Linked DNA regions of Macaca mulatta. The protein of the gene in region 1 interacts with the protein of each later gene in a biochemical or structural test. Links are inferred from orthologs where the notes say so. Each region holds a gene or a part of one and is shown on either strand. Other genes may lie near its edges.

Region 1 (3,490 bases):
GTCCTGCTGAGGGGTACTTTTGGAACCCAGTCTTGGCCAGATGAGCTACAAGCCCTGAGCTCCCACGATGTTGCTTCCTCCCTGCATCCTTTAGGCCCTAGAATTGGACAGCAACAATGAGAAGGGCCTCTTCCGCCGGGGAGAGGCCCACCTGGCCGTGAATGACTTTGAACTGGCACGGGCTGATTTCCAGAAGGTCCTGCAGCTCTACCCCAACAACAAAGCCGCCAAGACCCAGCTGGCTGTGTGCCAGCAGCGGATCAGAAGGCAGCTTGCCCGGGAGAAGAAGCTCTATGCCAATATGTTTGAGAGGCTGGCTGAGGAGGAGAACAAGGTGAGGATTGGGGTGGGGAACAGCGGGAATAGCATCCCTCCACGGAACCTGGCTACTGTGGGCTCTTGGTGCCTTTGGTTGTCTGTGCCGATCCCAGAAACCAAAAGTTGCCCTTTTCCCTGGAGCATTAAGGAGCATGTGTTCTCTGCTATTGGGGCCGTGTTCTGTGATCAGTGCTAGGATCCTACCCACAAGCCCCAGAAGTTGGGTTGGTTGCTCTGAGTGTAATTCCCGATTTATGTTTTCTTGTGGGCCAGGCACGGTGGCTCACACCTGCAATCCCAGCACTTTGCAGGGCCAAAGTGGGAGGATCACTTGAACCCAGTAGGTAGAGACCTCAGTGACTTATGATGGCACCACTGCACTCCATCCTGAGTGACAAAATGAGACCCTGTCTAAAAAAAAAAAAAAAAAGCTAGATGCTTTTTATGTGTGATTAAATAAATGATACATTTACGTAGTTAAATTCAAACTGTACCAGAGTATATACAGTCAAAAGTCTGCCTCCCCCACCAGAAGCAGCTGACCCTTCAGGTTCTTGTATGGTTCCAGTGTATTGCATCAGTGCACAGGCAGACATTCATGTTGCTTTCTCCCTTTCCCCTAACAAGAGGCAACGTGCTCTATCATTTGGCACATACTGTGCTTTTTTCACATGATAGTAGCTGGAGGCTTATTTTACATCAGTATTTAAAGAACTTTTACATTCTTCTTTAGGCTTACATAGTATTCCATTGTGTGGATGTGGCTTATCTTAGTCAGTCAGTCCCCTTTTAGTCTTCCAGTGTTGTTGGTGTTTTTTTTCTGAGACAGTTTCACTCTGTCACCCAGGCTGGAGTGCAGTGGCACGATCTTGGCTCACTGCAAACTCTGCCTCCTGGGTTCAAGCGATTCTCCTGCCTCAGCCTCCCGAGTAGCTGAGATTACAGGTTCCCGCCACCACACCCGGCTAATTTTTGTATTTTTAGTAGAGACGAGGTCTCACCATGTTGACCAGTCTGTCTCGAACTCCTGACTTGAGTGATCTGCCTGCCCCTGCCTCCCAAAGTGGTGGGATGACAGGTGTGAGCCACCATGCCTGGCCAGTCTTAAACAGTGTTCTAAACCAGCACTGTCCAGTAGAAATACAGTATCAACCACATGTAATTCAAAATTTTCTGGTAACCATGTTAAAAAGGTGAAAAACAAATGGAATTAAATTTTAGTTGCATTTGTGTATTTTTCAAACCATCTTCAAAATCCAATATATATTTTGCACTAAAAACACATGAGTTTGAACTAGCCACTTACAGTAGTGGCTACCATACGGGACAGTACTGCTTAGAACAGCATTGCAGTGAGTAACCTTGTGAGTTCATAATTTGTACATATATAAGTGTTTAGTTTTGTTTGAAACAGTGTCTCTTGCCCTGTCGGCCAGGCTGGAGTGCAGTGGCACAGTCTCAGCTCACTGCAACCACCACCTCCAGGGCTCAAGCAATCCTCGTCTCAACCTCTCGAGTAGCTGGGACTACAGGTGCATGCCACCACGCCCAACTAATTTTTGTAATTTTTGTTGAGCTGAGGTTTCACTGTGTTGCCCAGGCTGGTCTCAAACTCCTGGGCTCAAGCAATCTGCCCACCTCAGCCTCCCAAAGTTCTGGGATTACAGGTGTGAGCCACCAGGCCTGGCCTATACAGATATATTTTTAGGACAGATGTAGGAGAATGGGTGTATCTGTGTAATTCTGCTAGAAATTAAGTGTGTGTTTTTTCACTTGCGATGTCAGCCTCTTTGCTGTTCCTCTTCCTTGCAGGCCAAGGCAGAGGCCTCCTCAGGAGACCACCCCACTGACACAGAGATGAAGGAGGAGCAGAAGAGCAACACGGCAGGGAGCCAGTCTCAGGTGGAGACAGAAGCATAGCCCCTCTCCACCAGCCCTACTCCTGCGGCTGCCTGCCCCCAGTCTCCCCCCTCCACCCTGTTAGTTTTGTAAAAACTGAAGAATTTTGAGTGAATTAGACCTTTATTTTTCTATCTGGTTGGATGGTGGCTTTAGGGGGAAGGGGGAAAGGAGTAGGCTGGGGGATTGAGGTGGGGAATCATTTTAGCTGGTGTCACCCCCTCTTCCCTTCCCCCTTTGCACATGAACATATGTCCATCCATACATATTCATCAGAATGTTAATTTATTTTGCTCCCTCTGTTAGGTCCATTTTCCAAGGGTAGAAGAGGCAAGTGGTAGGGATGGGGTCTGATATGAACCCAGGGTGGAGAGGGAGACTCCTGGGCAGCCGTTTTCCTCATCCTTTCCCTCTCCCAGTCCATTTCCAAACGTGGCCTCCATGTGGGTGCTAGGGACATGGGAAAAACCACTGCTATGCCATTTCTTCTCTGTTCCCTTCCTCACCCCCAACGGTGTGGCTGATGTCTTCTGGTGTGATGGTGACCACCCCTTGCTCCCTGTTCTGGTATTTCCCCTGTCAGTTTCCCCTCTCAGCCAGGTTGTGTCCCGAAATCCCCTCAGCCTCTTTTCCGCACGTTGCTGAAGGTCCAGGCTTGCCTCAAGTTCCGTGCTTGAGCAATAAAGTGGAAACAATAAAACCTGGGTGTCAGACAACCCTTTTTGTTCAGCCTTGGAGGGGTGGGTATGGGTGGGTACATAATGGGTAGTGGCAAAATTAAGGGGTCACCCACTTAGTCCCAGTGGAGCTTAAATAAGTGCAGCATCTCAAGTAGACACCGTAGTTGGGCAGGAAGCAGCCCCACGATGCAGGGCTTCCTGAGCACTGCACAGGCTGCAGCTGGGACTTGAGTCTATGCACTCCCTCCCTCCAGCAACCTGGCAGTTTTTAGTGCCTCTGGTTTTCTTCCCTGACGCTTAGGAAGAGGAAAGTATCAAGATCTAGAAGACTGGGACACCATGCATATGCATTTTGAAGTTGGAATTGGTCTTCTGCCTACCTCTGATCTGGCAGAGGTATCTGTGCATTTTGGTTTCTTAACAAGGTAAAACTCCTGGTGTCACTAACCTCTGTCAGATAACTTTTACATGATTAAGGTCGAGAGTAAAGAGGGGTCATGCCCAGCTTCCTTCCCAGCCTTAACAGGAAACAGCTTGTGCTTTTTTTCTAACTATGCTTTGACCCTTAAGTCCTATGGCATGATGGGGCCCTG
Region 2 (4,182 bases), on another chromosome or scaffold:
AAGCATCTTCTTGTTTCAAAGTAGTTGTCTGTTTAGTACCTACAACAAAAATACAGTCATGTGCCACATAATGACATTTCGTAAACGACGGACAGCATACAGACAGCGGTCTCATAAGACTAAAATACTGTATTTTTACCGTACCTTTTCTATGTTTAGATATACAATTGCCTACAGTACTTAGTACAGTAACATGCTGTGCAGGTTTGCAGCCTGGGAACAATAGGCTGTACCATATAGCCTAGTGTGTAAGTAGGCTATACCATCTAAGTTTGTGTAAGTGCACTCTATGATGGTCACATAAGGATGAAATCGCTTAACAACGCATTTCTCAAAATGCATCCCCGCAGTTAAGCTACACATGGTGGCAGTAGGTCAGGCCTACACAAACACATTAGGTACAAGATAGATTCCTACACAAATAACAAACTAGACGAATTTTTCTTCTTTTCCACCTATTTTATGTCCAATCGTGTGTAAATCAAAATGAAATAGGTAAAGGGCAAGCAATTTGTTTTTGCAAATTGATTACTGTCTAATTTTTCTTGGTTAAAATGTATCTCTTTGGGGATTGAATTTTCTTCTGTATCATAGTTGCTTAATTAATCATTCCTGAAAATCTGAGATCTGGGTACTTTTTAGGGAAACCTCTCTCTCCGTCTGCCAAACGTCCTCTTTGGGAGAAGAGGGGAGTCCGGCACCTCAAAGAACCAGGCACCCAAGCAATCTGGAAAGGAGGACCGGTCCTAGGTTCAAGACCAGCTGCCAACGCTGCCCTAGTCACTTGCCCCGAACCCCGGGGACCCTAGGCCTGGGTTCCCGGCGCCTCCACTGTACTTTCTCTCAGAGGCTGGGGCCATGGCCCGCGTGAGGGAAATCTTGCAACACTGGCGTAAAGGGGTGAGGGCCGGCCAGGAGATCTTTCCCAGGGGGAGCGGACGGCGGTGGGAAGCTTTCGGCCTTCTCTACCTGGGAGAACCCCTCCCCTGAAGCAGCCTTTCAGGATCGCCCGTGCGCTTCGGTTTAGAACTCGAGATCGGGGTCCAGCTTTCAGGGTCCCAAAGTGAGAAGACATCCTTGCTCCTACCTGTGGCTTTTCGAGAGCGGCGAGGAGCCCCGGCCTTGCGGCCGGCAGAACCCGGCCCAGTACAGTCCGCCATCGGGGAGAGTAGTCTGCGGAACCCGGACTAGCTCCGGCGTCTCGCCCCGAAGCCCCGCCTTCCTACGCGTAGCGCGAGGCGGACCCCGCTGGCGTGGGGCGGGGCCAGAAGAGCGGGCTAAGTGGCCGGAGGAGGTGGCGGCGGCTGGGAGAGGCGAGAGATCTGGCTGGTAAGTGGAGTAGTGGAGAGGTTCGGGGTGGCCAGGGCTCGCGGTTGGCCGTGAGCCGCGGCGGACTTGGTGCCGCGGGCCGACTAGGCCACGCGAGGTGGTGGAGCCTGCACACCTAGGCGAGCAGGAATCGGAAGACATGGCTTCCTCTGATGCCGCCAGCACGCGCGCTGGGGTGTTATTCGGCTTATAGCGCGCTGCGCTGAGAACCGGGCTGACCCGCGTCACTACTGAGGGTTTGGGGCTGAGCCTTGCCTCCGGGAGAAGCGATGGTCTCCTCCTGAAGGCCGCCGTTGCCTTGCCTCCGTGTGATACAGTGATTTCACTAGCTGGATTGATCACTTTGGGTACTGCAACTCCTAGAGAGAAATGGGATGGAGGGCATCTGAATCTTCACCCCCTATAGATAAACTTGTGTTGCACCCCAATTTTTGTGAGGTGAGACATTAAAAAATCCCCTAATGATTAGAATTTTGATTTCAGGTCCACCTTTTGGAATTTTTTTTTCATAAAAGAAGTACTTTGCTTTTTAAAAAGCCCTTTAGTTCGTATTTGCCTCGCCTCTTGGGAGTACTCGGGAGTTTTTTCTTTTTTTCCTTCAAAATAGCTTTCAAAACTATGCTCCTAGAAAACTTAAAAGATGCAATAAGGGCTTCTTAAAAAACACTTTATTTTCTTAGACAAACATACTAAGATTCAGTAATAACATTTCAACCTTAGAACTTTACATTTTCTCCTAGCATGCTATTGGACCAAAAAACACAACAACAAAAACTTTCCATTTTCTTTATTGTATTTACTAGTAATTTATCACACTGAAACATAACTTTTGAATACTTAAATGTAATATCACGGATATTTAACAGTGTGTTTTGTATTTGTAGATTTTAGCGTCGAAACTGGGAGAAATAGGAATGGCTGTAGAGGAACTTCAGTCTATAATAAAGAGATGTGTAAGTATTTTTTTAATTTTTGTAAAATTAAATACCTTTCAAAATATGGGAAGGGCACAGATGGTTTTTAATTATATTTGTGGTCACTCAAATTGTTTATCTTCTTTAATCCTTGCTTTTTTTGACCTGTAAAGAACGTGAGTGGGGGAGGCAGATTGGATTATTTCTCCAGGTGACATACTTATCTAAATAACCTTTTACATTTTAATCCTGATCCTTTTCATAGGTTTCACTGGTACAGTAGATTTCAAGGTCATTTATTAAAGTATTTATTAGGGTAATCCTAATTTTGATACATGTGTTATTTACGTTACATTTACCTAGAATTTAAACAGATTTCCTTTTTTCATAGATAAGTCAAGAAGTTACTGTATTTAATTTTTATTTACATATACATTTGTTCTTTTGTTTTTGGGGGGCTTTTTTGCCAGCAAATCCTAGAAGAGCAAGACTTTAAAGAAGAGGATTTTGGCCTATTTCAGTTAGCTGGGCAAAGATGCATAGAAGAAGGGCACATAGACCAGCTATTAGAAATTATTCAAAATGAAAAGAATAAGGTACGTACAATCTTGGTGTTTACTTTTCAGTCTTGGGAAGAGAATAATCACATGATGCTATTCATCCAGTCATTTATCCATCAAACATTTAAGAATCTACTTAAATTTTCACAGTAGGGAACTGAAGACAAAAAAAGAATTAGAAATATTCAGGTGGGGCGTAGTGGCTCACGCTTGTAATCCCAGCACTGTGGGAGGCCGAGGCAGGCAGATCACTTGAGCCCAGGAGTTTGAGACTAGCCCGGGCAACAGAGTAAGGCCCTGTCTCAGAAAAAAAGAAAAGAAAAGAAACAGTCATATACTTGAAGGTACTTACAATCTGGTCAAACAGATAAACATGTAAACAACTAACAATAATGAGGCAAAATAAATAAAATAAGTGCTATAGTTGAAGTAAAGAGTTTTTAGAAGAAACAGAATTACTTCTGGTTTAGGGAGTCCAAAAATAGTGTTTGGGTTATTAATTTACATTGAAAAATATACATATCAAGCAGGCTAAATATTCATTTTGGGTGATCAGCCCATTCTCCAGCCAAATGTGTATGGAAAACCAAATTTTAATTAAAACAGTATTTTATGTGCTTAGAATCAGAACAGGAGGAAAGCTATATGTCATTATGCTAGCCAGTATCATCCAGTTACAATAGTTTGAGAAGTCCTCTACAATAGAAAAGGATCTTATTTGTGAATCAGGAATAACTTTTTCCTGGGACACTGTCTTGGCAACACCCTGCCAAATTTTGTGTCTTTGGATACTCCTTATAAGGAAGACTGCTATGGTTTGGTTCTGTGTCCCCACCCAGATCTCACCTTGAATTGTAATAATCCCTGTGTGTCAAGGGTGGGACCAGGTGGAGGTGATTGAATCAAGGGGGTGGTTTCCCACATGCTTCTCATCATAGTGAGTGAGTTCTCACGAGGTCTGATGGTTTTATAACCATCTGGCATTTCCCCTGTTGGCACTCAGCCCCTCTCCTGCTGCCCTGTGAAGAGGTGCCTTCCGCCATGGTTGTAAGTTTCCTGAGGCCTCCCTAGCCATGTGGAACTGCATGTCAATTAAACCTCTTTTCTTTCTAAATTACCCAGGCTTAGGTATTTTTTCATAGAAGCAGCGTGAGAACAGACTAATACAAAGACCATCTTCTTTCTAGGTACACAGTCTTTCTTCATTTGCAGTGCTACTTATTTATTAGAAGTTTCTTTCTCGATATCACAGTGTAGTCGTGTTGACCTGTGTTTCTCTCCAGGGCATCTTGATTGGATTTGGGGGATTCCTAAAACTTTTTAATCATACATTATTATAGCATCTCTTAGTTCAAATGGCTTATACCCTTCTTATTTTT

What was found.
Region 2: the proteins of FKBP4 (region 1) and GLMN form a complex in vitro, tested with the Homo sapiens proteins (2 studies listed by BioGRID). The link is inferred for Macaca mulatta from reciprocal best matches to the Homo sapiens genes FKBP4 and GLMN.

The regions. Positions count from the first base shown.
Region 1 is NC_133416.1:3,699,032-3,702,521, forward strand, and holds the end of FKBP4 (peptidyl-prolyl cis-trans isomerase FKBP4), read left to right. Parts: intron 1-94; coding exon 95-334; intron 335-2,130; coding exon 2,131-2,238; 3' UTR 2,239-2,906; downstream 2,907-3,490. UniProt on the Homo sapiens protein: Immunophilin protein with PPIase and co-chaperone activities. Component of steroid receptors heterocomplexes through interaction with heat-shock protein 90 (HSP90).
Region 2 is NC_133406.1:148,020,749-148,024,930, forward strand, and holds the start of GLMN (glomulin), read left to right. Parts: upstream 1-1,266; 5' UTR 1,267-1,329; intron 1,330-2,213; 5' UTR 2,214-2,243; coding exon 2,244-2,282; intron 2,283-2,713; coding exon 2,714-2,839; intron 2,840-4,182.